2 linked regions of the Struthio camelus genome follow. The protein of the gene in region 1 purifies or fractionates together with the protein of each later gene. This does not show direct contact. Links are inferred from orthologs where the notes say so. Each region holds a gene or a part of one and is shown in the gene's direction. Other genes may lie near its edges.

Region 1 (7,783 bases):
TTCAAGTGTCCAACAGCACACAGTAGCAAAGACCGAAAATTCTGCTAGGAAGCTATGCATTTTTATTGGTGACAGTTAAATGCGGTTTGAGTTGTTTTCCCTAGTACAGATAGCTTCAAGTCAAGTAAATACATTAAGAAAATTGCGCTGATTTTTTATACCCTGCTAACTGGAAGACTTTTGAATACTGACAAAACTGTTCACGTAAGGACGATTTAAAATTTAAGCTTCCATATAGCCATAAGGACTGCTGAGTTAGGGTAGGAGAAATTTCTAATTGTTTTTAAGCTCATTGCTTTTAGCGATACCATACATCTTTTCTAAGAGAATTTTGCTACGGCTGTTTTGCAAATAGCCATAATTCTCCTGCAAGGAACGAAATGTGAGATAGCAGAATGTTTATTAATGACAGCAGCAGGCAGACTACTAAAGCGATCTTTATCTCCATCTACTGTATCCTTGCATAAAATCACCCTGCTACTAACAGTGTTTCAAAAAACAGCTCTTAGAATTATAAAAGAGCAAGAGCAGCCATGCTGTGATGCTACTTTCATTAGTCTAAAAAAATGAAATGAAAAACCTGAGATGAGGAAAGCTGGAAGTCCACTGCTGACATTCTTCCTGCAGTCCCTCAACATGTACATTTTCTTTTTGTTCATAAAGAAGCTCATCAATTTGTCTGAACATTTGCTGAACCTGTCGTGTGGCAGCTTTATCAAATTCCTGGAAAGGAAAGTTATCCAATAAAAACCTAGTGAATGGTATTTGGAGTTTTTTTTTTAATTGACATTTTTAAAATTGAAAAGACACCTGTTTGTTTAAAGCTTAGCAGGATGGATTTAAACAGCAATGACCTCCACTGCATTTAAAGACGTTAACTTTAAATAATTTTTCACTGGGAGATGATGCAGACCACTGCTGGGGTCGATGGTAGCTACATAAAAAGCTTAAATTGACGCAACAGAAAACCTATTAAAACATTTTGAAATGTCTACATTATTAAGTTAGAGACATAATAATTTGCATAAAACATACCCGAACACAAAGGATAAAATTCAGCAAGATTTTAATGAAATGGAAAGTTCGTTGCTTGTATTGTCCACAGATGACACCAAAACAAAAAGCAATGCAGACCGGTGTAAAACACTATGCAGCGAAGGATGATCACGATCTTTGCTAAATGTTGTCGTGTTGCTAGAAAATGGTTCTTGAGTAATTCAAATCTGAACAGTTCCCCATCTTTACCTCACAGAAAGCAATAGCATCCTTTGTTTTGGCAGACGGGGAATAAAGGACATTTTTTAAATTAAAATAATGTTTTAGGGCATTACTATATTTTGAGAAACATACAAATATCCACAAGTTTTCTTAAATCTGAAGTTTGAGAAACGCAAAGCATATGAAAATCATCCACTCACATTTAGGATTCCACAATAATAGCATTAATGTTGTGTATGTACATATGTGTGAATATGTGTGTGTGAGTGCATATGCATTAAATATATTTGCACCATCAACTCTTTAGACCGGGAACGCAGAATACTAATTGCATATGAATTGACTACAAATCGAGTATGTTCTGATCTAAGAGGAAGGGAAAGACGGAGGTCAAAACAATGCTTTTCCTATAACCACTGTCATTGCTTTATTTACAGATCCAGTGCTCATCTTTACCCTGAAATGTACTTCCAATGGCATTTCAAGTGTCTTTCAACTCGCTGTGCTGGATTTGGTTTGGATGATTACGTTCTACTCACATCACAGCCCCAAGAGAAGACTGAGCTGTCTTCAGTGGTGGTTCCTGCATAGCTCTGACTAACAGACCATGAATTCCCATGATCGGTTGGAGTAACAGAAGGGTAATCTGTTTCCTTCGAAATTTCAGATTCACTGAAATGCACACATTGAGAAAAAAGGAAGAAGAAAAAAAGCAATAATCACAGAATCACAAACAAGTGGGTAAGTAAACTTTTCTTTCTGTACAAAAGAGCACAGATATATCAGAACAGGTCTCAGCAACCCTCCTCTAAGAACAGTTTTCAAACGGTAAATATTTAAATTAGAGGCACTTAAGCAGAAACCATAGTATGTGTTACTCTAGGTTGGAACTGTAATTCTTAATAACCTCACTGACATAGGAAGTCTAGGGGGTCAGGCTTTCAAACATTAATTTTCCAAAAATTATCTTAGTTACTCTGCAGACAATTTCTAGTTCCAGTTCTACATCACTCAAGAATTATTCTTCCCCTTTCCCTCTTGTTTCTGGCATACAATTAAGATGCCATTTACAGGCTGGGAACAGAACACAGTAAAAACACTGATTATTATTTCCAAAATGCATCTGCGCCGCAGCACATATCCTGGGGCTTGCAAAATGTACCACACTGTCTAATGGAACTGAAATAGAGGTCCACCATCTCAAAAACCTGAGGCTGCAACCCTGCCTCTTGAGTACCCACAGAAAGGACATGTTCTGAAACGCTACAGTCAGGAGTTAAAGCCTAAGCCTAACTGTATTACTCTGGCACTTCTGTGACGGAGTAACACCGAAGTGACTGTTCCTCTATTGTCTCCAGAGATACATTTTATGTTATTACCAGTACCTTGAGGTCTCCCCATAGCTTTTGACAGTGGGTGCAGCTGGGTGGACCTCAGCTCGTGGTTCTGGCAGGGGATGCTGCTGCAAGGCATGTTTTGTAAGTCCTTGTCTAAAACAGAGAAGTGGAAGTTAGAAAAATAAACACCTGCAGAGTTCCAAAGTGTTACAGTTTGTTGTTGTTGGGTTTTTTTTGGCTCTTGAAGGAATGCACTCATTTGCATACCTGACCTCATTTATTGTTAAAAGGCTAGTTCCTGTTATCAAAGCTTTAGAACTGAGATGAAAACTAACTCCAGGCTAAACACGGAGTTAAAGGGCTTTGCTTAGAAAGCAGTATCTTCCTTTACAGTAAACTTAAAATACTGTTGTGAACTGGGTTACAGCTCTGTAAAAGCAGATGTAACATAGCTGTCCCCCCAGGCGACCTGTAATCACACAGAACAACACTGGCCTCTAAACTCAAGCACAGGCAAAATAAGGGAAAACGGTATTTGCTAGTTTTTGTTTTGTTAAAATTTAGATGTCTAGGAAAAAGAGACAAGAAAAGGCAGAGCAGTAGGAGAGAGAGAAGTGCAGGAAGGCAACTACGGTGAATAGCTCTGGGAAGAAAGATCAAAGATCAAACAAAAAAAAAAGAAAAAAAAAAGAACAAAGCACGTCTTTATCCCGAGTACCGGCCGAAGAAGCCCTCTCTTCTGTGATACCTCTGGTGTTGGAGAGAGCAAGGCTACCGAAGTAAACAACACCGCATCAAAGGAGCTAACTACCAAAACCTAGGTATTTTCCTATACCCCCCCTCCCCGGGAAAAAAAAAAAAAAAAGCATCAGTTACCCCCTGGGTCAAAAAGAGGCAATTTAAGTTAATCACCTCCTACCAAACCTGCCTTTCCCGGTAGTGACAACGCGCGGGCACCGCCGCGCTCAGCCCGTCAGGAGGCTGCCCGTATCCCGGCCCCCTCCCGCGGCCCCAGCGTTACCCGGCGCAGCCCCCCGGCCCCGTTTCGGCGGCCGCCCAGCAGGCCCGAGCGCGGGGCCTGGCCGGGCGCGGCGGAGCCCGGGGGCGGCGCGGGGGAAGCCGCGGCGGGGCCGGGGGGGGGGGCAGAGCGGCGGCCACTCACTTCTGCCGGGCGCCGGGGGGCACCGGCTTGCGCGCGTATCGCGAGATCATCCTCCGCCCGCCTCGCCTCAGCTCAGCTCAGCTCAGCGCGGCAGCGGCAACGCCGCCGCCCGCCGCCTCCCCGCCATGGCGACGCTCCTCCCCGCCCCGCCCCGCCCCGCCCCGCGCCGCGCCGGGGAGGCGGAGCGGCACTGCGCGGCCCTGCGCAGCACGGCTCGGCCCTGCGCTCATGGAGGGCGGCCGGCGGGCCGCGCTGGCGGAGGACGCCGTGCGCTACCGCCTCTTCCCGGTGGCGGGCGGCGAGGCGCCCCTCCGCCGCTGCGCCGACAGGATCCTGCTGCGCTTCGCGCCGCTCCTGGCCGCCTACATCTGGCAGCGGCAGCCCTTCCGGCTGCGCTGCCTGCCGGCTCGCGGTGAGCAGCGCCGCCGCGCCGCGCCGCGCCCGTTAGCGGGGCCTCGAGCCGCCTCTCATCATCTCCTCTCCCTTCCCCCCCCCCCCCCCGGGCAGGCGACACCCCGGCGCACATCGGCGGCACCACGCTGTTCGGGGATAACGTGGAGGACGAGTGGTTCATCGTCTACCTCGTGCGCGAGATCACCAGGCAGTTCCCGGAGCTGGCCGCCAGGTAGGGGGGCGGGGCGGGGCGGGGCGGCCAACGGCCGACAGCGGCCAACGGCCAACGGCCAACGGCCGCGCTGGGGGGGGAGCGGCCTCCCGCCCAGGGGTTGGAGCGCCGAGGGCGGGCCCCCTGAGCCCGCCTGCCGGCAGAGCCCCCTTTCTCCCTGGCCAGGGTTGACGACAACGACGGGGAGTTTCTGCTGATAGAAGCTGCTGATTTCCTGCCGAAGGGGCTGAATCCCGAGAACAGTGAAAACCGGGTGAGTTCAGGGCTTTCCTGCAAATGAGCAGGTGTACGGGAGACTTAACCGCTGGCCGGCTCTGACGCTTGTTTTTGCCCCGCGTGCTCCTACAGGATGCTAGGTAAAATGAATGAGAAACTGCTGTAGGAACATCTAAAAGTGCTGCAGCTATCGAGTGGTTCTTCTAGAGTCGTTTTTTCAAAGCCCTCGTGCGCTCGAGTCAGAGGAGGAAAAAAGAGAGCTTTCTTCTACTCATAACGTGACGCTCGCGCAGAGACTCGAGACCTGCCTGAGAGCCTCTGAATCCCTCTTGATTAGCTAGATCTGATTCTTGCACATAAATCAGCCTTTCAGGGTTGTTAACTGACTTGGCTTCTGTAAACCTACCGTTAGTGTTGGCTAAAACAGTGCAATTGCGAAGACAGAGAAGGTGTCATGCTGTTTATTAATCTATAAAACCAGTTTGATAGTCTCCTTCCCGTTATCTAGGTTACTGGAGTGCTAGGAAAATTTAGATAATATGGGAACTGCGGAATATATTTGTTATGCACGCATGCCATATTGCTTTCCTGAGGAGCACTCTTGCCCCTGTGTGAGCTTTCTAGCTCGGGTATAGCCGCTTGAGTTTTTCTACCATGTAGTGCTCAGGCTGCACATGTAGTGCAGCCTGGGGAACGCTCAAGACTGGAGCGTCTCTGACTCTACAGGTTGACAGCCTGGGTCTGGCGTAGCTGAACCGATGAGCTGACTCCTTCGCCAGAGTCTGCAGCTGAATCACCTCACCGTAGATGATTGTCAGTGGATTATGTCACTGAATTTCTTACCTACAGATTTGAATGGAAAGAACTTACTTCTTCGTTAGCGGAGAATTTTTGTGTACTCCTCCAAGGCAGTTAAAAAGAGAAAGGAGGCGGGGGAAGACACAACACAAAAATGAATCACAAACCCTTAACTGGATTATTAGTACCATGTTCTCCTTCCATTTCAAGGATTGGGAGGTGACAATGCTAGATCCAGCTGTTCTTCTCTTAGGCTAAGAAAACAGCAGAGGTCACATGTCAGAGGCACCCGAAATGGTGCTCTTCAGTCATTGTCCTGTTCTTCAGCAGCTAGGTTATTTTGCTGTCAGGTTCTCCTGAAGTGGATCTCCAATTTAAGAGAAACTTTTGGTACGGCAGTTATTAAAGAAACAAGATTTATGTGATCAAACCTGTTGCTGCTATTAAAATAGCCTTTATTTAGTGGTTAGGTCATGGTCTTCAGTGCCTGTATGTACTTCATGCTGTTTCCTGTGTTATTTCAATATTCGTACTCCAGTATTCTCTGCGTTTAAACAAACACGTTCATCTATGAAAAGAAATTTTGCATTGGTCAGTCTGTGACTGTTTTTACCCTTCTGATGAAAACGTTACTGTCTGCCAGGTATTCTTTTACAAAGGTGAGCTGCACATCATTCCACTGCCGGAGACTCATGGGCAGGAATGGGAGCTACCTGCTTCCAGTCCGACAATCTCACAGGCGTTAACGTTGTTATCCACCCGTGCGGAGGAGTGTCTGGCCGCAAAACCCATTAGAACGGCCGTGTATAAACGCATCAGTGGGTACGTGGATGGTTTATGGTGTTCTGTAGCCGCTGATTCTTGGCTCTCTGGGGTACTTTCTTTCCTTGCATTCGGTCGTTTTCCTGTTCACTGTGCTAAAGCTGCTTCCTTTTCTGAAGCCCCAGGGAGAGTTTTTCTGTGGCGTTCTTTGGGGGGAGGCGGCACAGTCACGTAAACTGTAACCTTGTCTGGGGGCTCAGGTAGAGGTTCAATGTGATGATGCCGCACCTGACAGTGGTAGGAGTTACTCCACATCCTTCCCATACTAATTGGTGAGGAAATCTGAAAATTGTCTGAGTCCTCTGGGGGAAGAGGCAATCCTGAACAACGGTGCAGAACCAGCATGCTTTTCAGAGCATCAGCTCACTCTCTGAAATGGTCAGCAGTACATGTAATTTTCTGCAAGGATGTGACAGCCTGAGCCAGATGACCTCTGCAGTCAGCACAGTGAAGGAAGCTGCGTAGCTGGACATATTAGTTCAATTCACAGTGATGCTTTTTACCAATGTGGGGATTAAATTTTTCTTAGCTATATATTTTTATTTCTCTTTTTTTTTTTTTTTTTAAGTGAATCTTGTTTAGGCGTTCCATCTGGTAGATTAGCTGAGTTTTAACTTTATTTCAGAATAATCTTCTTGTACTCGGCCCATAGTACAGACTAATATTAAAGTAAAAATGGAAACAGTAATTAAAAAGGAGTGGTTTGGTCTTGCAATACACTTAATACACTATATTGCTATCATACGATACAGGTATCCTGAGAAAATTCAGGCCTCGTTTCACCGAGCCCACTGCTACCTCCCGGCAGGCATTGTGGCAGTGCTTAGGCAGCGCCCTTCGTTGGTGGCTGCAGCAGTCCAGGCCTTTTACCTGCGAGATCCCATAGATTTGCGAGCGTGTCGCTCTTTTCGGACTTTCCCTCCGGATGAGCGTGTGATGACTGTAGTAAGTGATGCTTCTAATTCAACTTGTTATCACTGAATTAAGTTCTGTTACTGATGGAGGTTCTGTGGTCAAGTTAGATAAATGTATGGGTTTCATTTTTAAAATAGCACGTTTTCTGATTTTCTCTTTTGACACTAGCCATGGATTTCCAGTTGATTATGTTAATAGCTTTGCTGCCTTCAGATTGATGTGGCTAGGCTTTCAAACGGGCTAAACGCCAGAGAAGAATTTCTGAAGTCGGAGGACACTACTGCTAAAAGTTCCTCTGCTAAAATGTATTTAGATCTAACAAAGTTCGTATTTATTTAGAGATGTTACCATCTTTGAATATACTGTGTAAAATCTAAGAAGTGACACATCTTAGACAAATACATCTGTCAACTTCTAAATACCATCTGACAGATTGTCTGTAGTATGGATGCTTTAAAATACAATTCAGATGGCAGAGTGTGAAAGGTGATGCCCATATAGAACACGGTCGCGCTGCAGCGAGTGTTTTTCTTTTGCTCTGCTGTTTTCAGGTTACTTTCACAAAGTGTTTATATGCACAACTAATGCAGCAGAAGTTTGTTCCAGACAGACGCAGTGGATACACGCTGCCCCCGCCATCCCACCCTCAGTACAAAGCCCATGAACTGGGCATGAAACTGGTAATTATTA
Region 2 (7,783 bases), on another chromosome or scaffold:
GGGGGTTTGTGTTTTTTTTTTTTTTTAATATTAACTTCAAGGCACTCGACTAGTTCAAACGCTCTCTTTCAGCCCTGCTCAACTGCAGTATTAAACACACTGGGGCCAATGATAGGAAAGAAAAAAAAAAGAGGTGAGAATTAGGAGAAAGCTTTTTAGTAAAAATATGCTGTAGCTAAATCAAAATGAACAGAGGGTCCCCCAACTATTTGGGGTTTTGTTTTGTTGTTTTTTTAAATTTGAAACAACAATTGCACAGCACATTAATTTGGTCCTAAACAATTTCAGCTCCTGCTCCCCCTCAGATGTCGTGTGTGGCATCTCCTACACATACATGGTCTCTAACAGAGCAAGGGATGCAGGTTCTCAGCACAGGTCCTCTCCAGGTCAAGCAATAACATTGGTATTTGAAAGAACAGGTTGATGGAAACTGGGGTTTGGAGCTTCATGGCCTGCCTGTATTAAGACTAACGTCACAGTAACTACTTTGATAATAGTTACCTTAGGGGAAAAAAAGCACCAACATGGATAAACAGCACTGAAATAAATCAAAACTGCTTGCAGGTGAACCAGGACCAAATAAAAATACTAAGCAAAACTAGTGAGCAAAACTCTGTGTAGAAGAGAGTGTCAAACATTGAGCTCCTGGAAACTCACCCAACAGGATTTCATGGCCACTTGTAGACTTTCCTTCCTGCAAATGGGAGAGGGCAAATCTGATTATTTCCTTCAGCCACTACCTTTACCCCATTCTGCCCTGGTGCAGCTGCATCCTCCCAGCAGAGGACAATATGGTCTTTATTACTGTGCTATTACTGATTTTGGCTATAGGAAAATACTCCTTTCCCTCCCTACTTCCTTTCAGGACCTACAGCATCAGCTAAGCATAGCCAGGTCAGACTCACTTCCATCCTCACTCCAGATGCATAACGAGGTGAAAAAAAATGCATCTGCTTGCTCTCTCTGGCTTGCAGGATCTCAGTGGCTCACTTGTGTCCGACAGATACCGTGCCACTATTGCTTCCTAGTCCCCCACTGCAGAGACCTATGGCAACCGTTGCAGTCCCACCATAAGGAGCTTCCCCCATTTCTGAGGAATTGCCCCTTTCCAATAGCCATGAGGACAGGGGCAGGAACTGCCTGCCAGCGTCTACCCTGGCCTCTGACAGCAGAAGCAGCAGGAACCTGCCGGCTGAGTAGCAGAACCTGTTACCAGATGGGCACCAACTGACAGATGCGTTTGCAAGAAAGGAGCATGAAGCTCCCACCAGCAGGGCTGTGATGTGTATGCATTCGCACAGGCCACCCCCGCATGCAGGGAGGTGCTGGCTTCCTGCAGGCGCACAGGGCCACCTCCTCCAAGAAGCCCACGCCGTGGTGGAGCTGGCTCCTTGGAGCTTGCACACAGAACACGCCGCCCTCATTTGGATGATTTCCCGCACCACAGTTAGAGCCGCGATCCAGCCCCTCATCCCTCTTCAAGCCACCTTAGTTCATATTGGCTAGCGGAAAACGCTTTACCATCTGTTCATCTTCAGGGCCTGACTCATTATTTTTATTTCAGCTGTCACCAAGCAATAGCAAAAAAATCCCAACACACCAGTATATCCACCACTACAAACTGCCTTGTCCTCAGTCACCAGAAAAAAGTAGCTCATCCCCGGATTGCTGCAGTGTGTGGTACTGATCTTCTGCAAAAAGGCAGGAAGGAGAAAATGGGTACAGCCAGCTTCTGAAGGTGACTTTGGCCATTAACAGACATAGCTTCCAGGTGAAAACTGAGCAGTGACTAAGCCTAGCAATGCCAGTGGCCTCCACAAATCTAGGAATGGGGCTTGTCCCTGAAGGCACCCGGATTCGTGGATGATGGAGAGACTGGAGGTGGCGTAGCCCTTTTCTGCCCTCCTGAGCTCCTAACTAACGTAGCATTACAACCAGGTTTTAAACCATTTCATCCATTTGCACCAGACCTTCTTTGTCTCCACCCTTACAAAAAAAAGGGATATGCCACTGCCTACTCCACATCCTTTCCTTGCCTCCTCCTTTTTACTCTCCGAGATTCACTCCTGGTACGTCCCTGACATGCTACACAGTGTTACACAGACTTTACCTGTGTTTTAGTCTTATTTCCCCTTTCAGATGGTTTCCTTGCCTGTTTACTACCCTCCCCATACCTGCTCCTGCTGATGTACCAGAGAACTCTTCCGCTCTTCCTCCCTCCAGCCAGGAACCCATTTTAATGGCTGTGATCACACTATTTTCAAAAAGGATCACCAAATGGGGAAACACCTCTAGAACTGTTGATTTAAAACTGCAGCACAGCTCCGGCCAGACGAAAGACATTTTGTGCTAACCTTGTTACTGCTGCCAAACGTATTCCAAACACAGCTCTCATCTCATAAATTACTCATCTCATAAATTACTGTAGTGAGCAACACTCCAGAAGGCAAAAGTGTATATATATTTTAAAACTCACAATACAAATGGCTGCAGCTTATATTACAGATGACTCACAGCGAGGCCCCTCTTGAAGGGCTTCTGTGAAGTCTTTTAGGACACAGACACAAACTTACCTTTTGGCAAAGAAACCGAGATGAAACAGGGTTTGGATGCTGTGGAAAAAAAGGTGCCACCAAAATCCAAAATGGTAGGACTCCACCAACAGTTCTGTCTTTTGTTGCAAAACGATGATATAAATCATCTACAAGGCCTGGACTAAGTCCTATGTTTCTCTTAATCCTTCACTGCTGGGCAACCCGATTAAGTAAAGGCCTGACCTTTAGCAGCTCAGACCCTTTGTAGGCATTAATTTAATTCCATTTAATGACGAAGCCCCCACAATCATGCGACGCAGTAAGGGTGCGTGACCCTGCGGAAGGGTGGAGGGAAAAAGGAAAATCCTGCAAACTTCTGTACCGCATGCTGCGTGTATGGCACTCAAAGAACAAACCTTGCTCTTTTTTTTCCTGAACACACTGTAAATGAGCTAAATATTGAAGTCACTTGAGAAGTCTATTTTCACTGGAAATTTAAACTTTTCACTGAACGAGGGGAAAAAAAAAATCAAGCACCTTTGGCCAAAACCAATAAAACATTTTTAGAAAGAATTCCACTTTTCCAAGCATACACATTATGTTCTTCTGGGACAGAAAATGGAAACTTTCTTTTTTTGGCTGGACACTGGTTTTATGCCTCTAGTGACTTGGAAGTCTTCTGGTTGAAAAATAAATACATACAAATTAAAAAAAAAAACCAAAAACAAAACAAACACCAGACACTTCCTCTGACATTTTCACTGTGGCCAAACGCCTACTTTTCCGATGAGAAAAAAGGCTCTGCTGGACGTGTTTCTGCCAGGCGGCTGCGGGGATGCTCGGGAGGCGGCGGCGGTGCCCTCCGAGGGGCCGGCTCGCCGCGGGGCCGTTAGGCGGCGAGCTCGACGCTTGCCGGGCAGGCGGGGGCGGCCGGGACCCCGCTCCGGCCCCGCACACCGCGACGGCGGGGCCGGCCCTGCCATTGCTGCCCGGGCCGCAGGGCACTGCGCCAGCAGCGCGCCCGCCTCCCCACAGCCTGCAAAATGGCGGCGGAGAGCAGCGGGCGCCGCTCGCGGTGCACCCCGGGAGCCGTAGTCCCGCCGCGCCGCGTCCCGCGGAGGGCCCCAGCTCGCAAAATGTCCCCCACCTGGGGGCAAGCGGGCGAACTACAGCTCCCAGCATGCAAAGGGGCGAGGGGCGGGTGAGGCCTGGGTGGTGCCTTCCCGCCTTCCCCCCCCCCGCTCCGCTTTGCCTGCTGGGGGTTGTAGTCCCAGCGCCGCCCGCCGCCGCGCCGCCTCACGCGGCAGGGACTCGGTGTCCCAGCGTGCGCCGCGCGGGCAGGACGCGGGCGGTTGCTGCGAGGAGCCGTTGGGGTGGCGGCGGGTTGTGGTAGGGGGCTGCGGGCCCGGCGGGAGAGGCAACGGCGAAGGGCGGGGAGGGCTGCCGGCCACGGCGTGGGGGTGATGGCGTGTGTGTTCTGCCTTGGCTGCAGGGGGAGAGGCCTGCGGCCGCATGGAGGAGCGTGAGGGGGCCCTTCCCGGCCAGGGAGCCGCCGGGCTGCGGCGGGCTGACGCCGCCCTCGCCGACCGGTGGGTAGCTGACCTCGGCTAGGAGGTACCGTGACTCCCCCGACGCGCACGGTGCCGCCTGCAAGCAGTCGTTTCAGTCGCTCCTGCCTTTTCCTGGGCTCTCCTGGGTGGCAGCCGCTTCTCTCACGTGCTACGGCAGCTGAACCGGAAGGGCGTAAGGGGTTTCAGCCGGCCGTTGGCCATGTAGCAGTGGCAGCAGGGGCCGTGCTTTTAAAAGCAGTCATCCGCTCGCCTTGCCCAAGGCAGCTGGGCTGCGTGTGCAACGCACCGCTCGGGCTGCTGCCTTCTTGAGAAGTTGCTCTGTGTTTTAACGCCTGGTAGAAATCTGGCCCAGATTGTGAATACGGCCTTGCTTTGAAAACACAGGCCTGGGCTAGCCTGGGTCTCTGCTGTGTGGGCCTGGGCTAGCCTTGGTCTCTCTCTTTTTTCTTTTTTTTTTCTTTTTGCAGCGTTTAAGTGCTCGTAACGCATAAGCGTCCATTTGATATTTTTCTTGGCCGTATGTAACATAGTTCACCTCTTGACGGTTTACTGCTCGTGCAAATGACAGTGTTATTTTTTTTAAAAGGCTGTCTCCCGTTCTACAGACTCTTAAGGCGGGCAGCGTGAGCGTGGAGACTGAGTAAATGTAGCGGTGCCAGCCTTATTAGGGAGCGCGTTGTTCTTTTGCCAAGAATCCGGGAATATCTGCAGACTTGTATATTAGCGTGAGCTTATGTCAGATTTAGAAATCAGTTCTGCAGTTTTGGATGATTCAGAGAGAAGGAATTATTTTTAAAGCTCATGCTAAAACTACATTTCCAATATTGTAATGGAAATGTTTGTTTTCTAGGGTGGAAGTGCTTGTATCGTTGATGGCTTTAACTGACCCTCAGGAGGGGAAGCTGACTCAGTCTCAAGAGAAAGTGAGTGACTAACAGACTTTCTATGTCTGTTTACTGCATTGTTTGAAAATAACCCATAATTATGTAGTTGAGCTTATTCTAGTAATATACTAGAACTATTTCCTTATCTCATGTTTTTGTGAGCTGAACTGAGGTGCATATTCACCAGCTCCGCTTCTTATTGCCCAGCAAGTGGCAGCGTGAACAGCAACCATCTCCGGTTATGGAGAGTTCCCTTCTGTCGGAAGACAGAGCGAATCTGGTATTCCAGCCTGTACTGGAACTCAGGCTTCGGTTTCACAGTTTGTTTTTACTGAGTGAAGGGCCAGCTCTTGTTGAGCCTCAGTTGCAGGCTCCCCTTGCTTCCACTGTGTTAGCACAAGCAAGGCATGTGTGATTAGTTTTCCTAATCCAATTAGATTAAGTCCTTGAGCTGGCTCATCACATGATCCCTGAAACCTAGTAATGACGTGACAGAGCTTAAAGTCAGGGAAGGAATGAAGCCTGTGCTTTATATCAGTAAAGAAAAAATGAAGCTATAGCCGTGCTGTTTTATAAACTTCTCTCTCACTGACCTTGATCAGTGAGAGTGTTCTTTGTAACAGACAGTATAATGAATACACTGCTTATTGGCACAAGGCGTAGTGCTAGTGCAGCAAAGGAAAATAGCAGCCAAAGTAAGTGAGAGATTAGGGTATATTTCTGTTGGATTTATACAGTACGGTAAACATAGGGTGTAGTCTGGACAGGTCATTGCTGGAAGTAGCGTATAAGACAGTCATGTGGATTTGCTCAAAAACTTGATGCTGATAACCTGTGCCATGTAAACAATGGTTACAGCAGGACCGATTATTAAGTTAAGAGTGATACGTATGGTACTTGTATCACAGTTGAATTTTTGAACTCCTTGCATTCTAGGCGTTACATTCGTTGGGTATTTGGAAAACCATATTTGCTGGTGTTCCTGGACCTACATCATAGACATCAGTGGAGTGACAGCCCAAAGATGGGAGATCAAGATGCAGGTGAACCCTTTCTGGGTATAGTGGCTGGTGGTACCACAGACTACGAAGGAGTTCTGCCCTCTGACACAGTATCACTCAGCGATTCTGATTCCGATGACTTTGGGTTAGCGGATGAAGCTGAAGTTGATACAATATCTCCTGAGGAGCCATCTGTAGATGATGGGGGTTACCAATCAGGGGAGACCTCCGACTCTTCAAACAGCCGTTGTAAATCTCCCATCCAGCCATTCCACTTGAGAGGCATGAGTTCTACATTCTCTCTCCGTAGCCAGAGCATTTTTGATTGCTTGGAAGAGGCAGCCAAACTGTCTGTGCCCTCATTGCCTGAAGATAATGTTGTTGATGGTAGGTTTAAACGTCCTTTGCCTCCAACTACTGTTTCAAGTAACATGGTTCCAGAAAGCCCTGGAAAACAAACCAAACCAGTGCAGGCTCCCAAAATTTCTGCTGCAGTTCCTGACTATGTGGCACACCCAGAGCGCTGGACCAAGTATAGCCTAGATGGCGTTTCAGAGTCTAATGACAAGACTAACAGGGCAGTGGCCATGGAGTTTCTAGAGGGTTTGAAGAAAAGAGGAGAGGAACAAAGCTCAGCTGCCCACGATAGCTACACCCCATACTTCAACCAGGACCCCTCCAGCTGTGGTGCTGGAAGGATTATCTTCACCAAACCAACAAAAAGGGGCGTTGATGGACTGGAAAAGAAAGTGTCAGCAGGGGAGGATCATAAGAAACACACAAAAACAGATCTGAGAGGAAAATCTCCTAAGAAGACTGATGACTTGAGGGAGGAAGATAAGATAGAGTTGGGGCATTTAGACGATGCAAGTGGGAAGGCAACAGAGGAAGAGGGGTGCCTGATGATGGGGGACCTAAACAGAGAAGGTAAACTTAGTGCAAGGTTTAGTGATGCAGATGAAGAGCCACTGGTGGAAACGGTTGGATTCCATTGCAGTAAGAAGAGGAACAGGAAAAATTTCCGACCTAAAGTAGACCATGAAGAGGAAGAGGAGTCCTGAAGGGTGGAGCAAAACTAGAGACATCCAAGGACTTGTATTGTTCTAGGAGATCACCTCTGGATATGTTTGCTTTTTCTTAGCCCCCTTTTTTTTTTTTTTTTTTTTTGATCAGGAAACCAGGTGATAGCTAACAGTTTGCATCATAGCATCCAAGTCCATTTTATATTGTTAGAAATTAAGCTACCCAAAGTTCATTCCATACTTTTTGTTCTTGACCCTGGGCACAGGATAACTGCACCTTAGCAGGAGAGAAAGTAGCATGCTTTCTTTACTTGAACAGCTCCCTGGGGCTTGCTCTGGAGCTGTGGTAGTCCTGAACACCAAAGAGAAAGTTGTTAGCTTAAAGGCTGTAAGGAGGATAATGAAATAAAGTCATTCTACTCGGTCACAAATTTGAACTTGTCCCCTAGTCCTGTAGACTCCTGGAACAAATGTGACGAGCTCATTATGTAGAGATTTTTAAAGAATGGGAAGGGGAAAAAAAAAACAAACCCTAGTCTTCCACTGGATTCGATTTCTCTTGGCCCTGTCCCAGGAAGGAACCCCCCCCCCACACACACACACACTTTTTTTTTTTTTTTAAATACATTCTAGGACACAGGTGGGAACTGGCAAACTGAATTTTTTTAAGGTTGTCTTACTACTTGACTTATTTCAGTAGTGTTATATGATAAACATATAAAGAAACTCAGTGTCTCCTGGGGACAGGAACAACTTTGGAAACATCCTGGT

What was found. Proteins that work in one complex are often made in the same cells at the same time.
Region 2: the proteins of ECD (region 1) and TSSC4 purify together in Homo sapiens (affinity purification with mass spectrometry; 3 studies listed by BioGRID and IntAct, counting the BioPlex papers as one, with this or other methods). This does not show direct contact. The link is inferred for Struthio camelus from reciprocal best matches to the Homo sapiens genes ECD and TSSC4.

The regions. Positions count from the first base shown.
Region 1 is NC_090948.1:40,679,358-40,687,140, reverse strand, and holds the start of ECD (protein ecdysoneless homolog), read left to right. Parts: upstream 1-3,790; 5' UTR 3,791-3,945; coding exon 3,946-4,129; intron 4,130-4,224; coding exon 4,225-4,342; intron 4,343-4,507; coding exon 4,508-4,595; intron 4,596-5,999; coding exon 6,000-6,178; intron 6,179-6,930; coding exon 6,931-7,123; intron 7,124-7,644; coding exon 7,645-7,773; intron 7,774-7,783. Other genes in the region: primary cilium assembly protein FAM149B1, read right to left, coding at 581-723, 1,758-1,890, 2,604-2,708, 3,718-3,767. UniProt on the Homo sapiens protein: Regulator of p53/TP53 stability and function. Inhibits MDM2-mediated degradation of p53/TP53 possibly by cooperating in part with TXNIP. May be involved transcriptional regulation. In vitro has intrinsic transactivation activity enhanced by EP300.
Region 2 is NC_090946.1:18,609,039-18,616,821, forward strand, and holds the start of TSSC4 (U5 small nuclear ribonucleoprotein TSSC4), read left to right. Parts: upstream 1-3,799; 5' UTR 3,800-3,923; intron 3,924-4,026; 5' UTR 4,027-4,123; exon of another isoform or gene 4,124-4,148; intron 4,149-4,955; 5' UTR 4,956-5,028; intron 5,029-5,925; 5' UTR 5,926-6,013; coding exon 6,014-7,051; 3' UTR 7,052-7,783. UniProt on the Homo sapiens protein: Protein associated with the U5 snRNP, during its maturation and its post-splicing recycling and which is required for spliceosomal tri-snRNP complex assembly in the nucleus.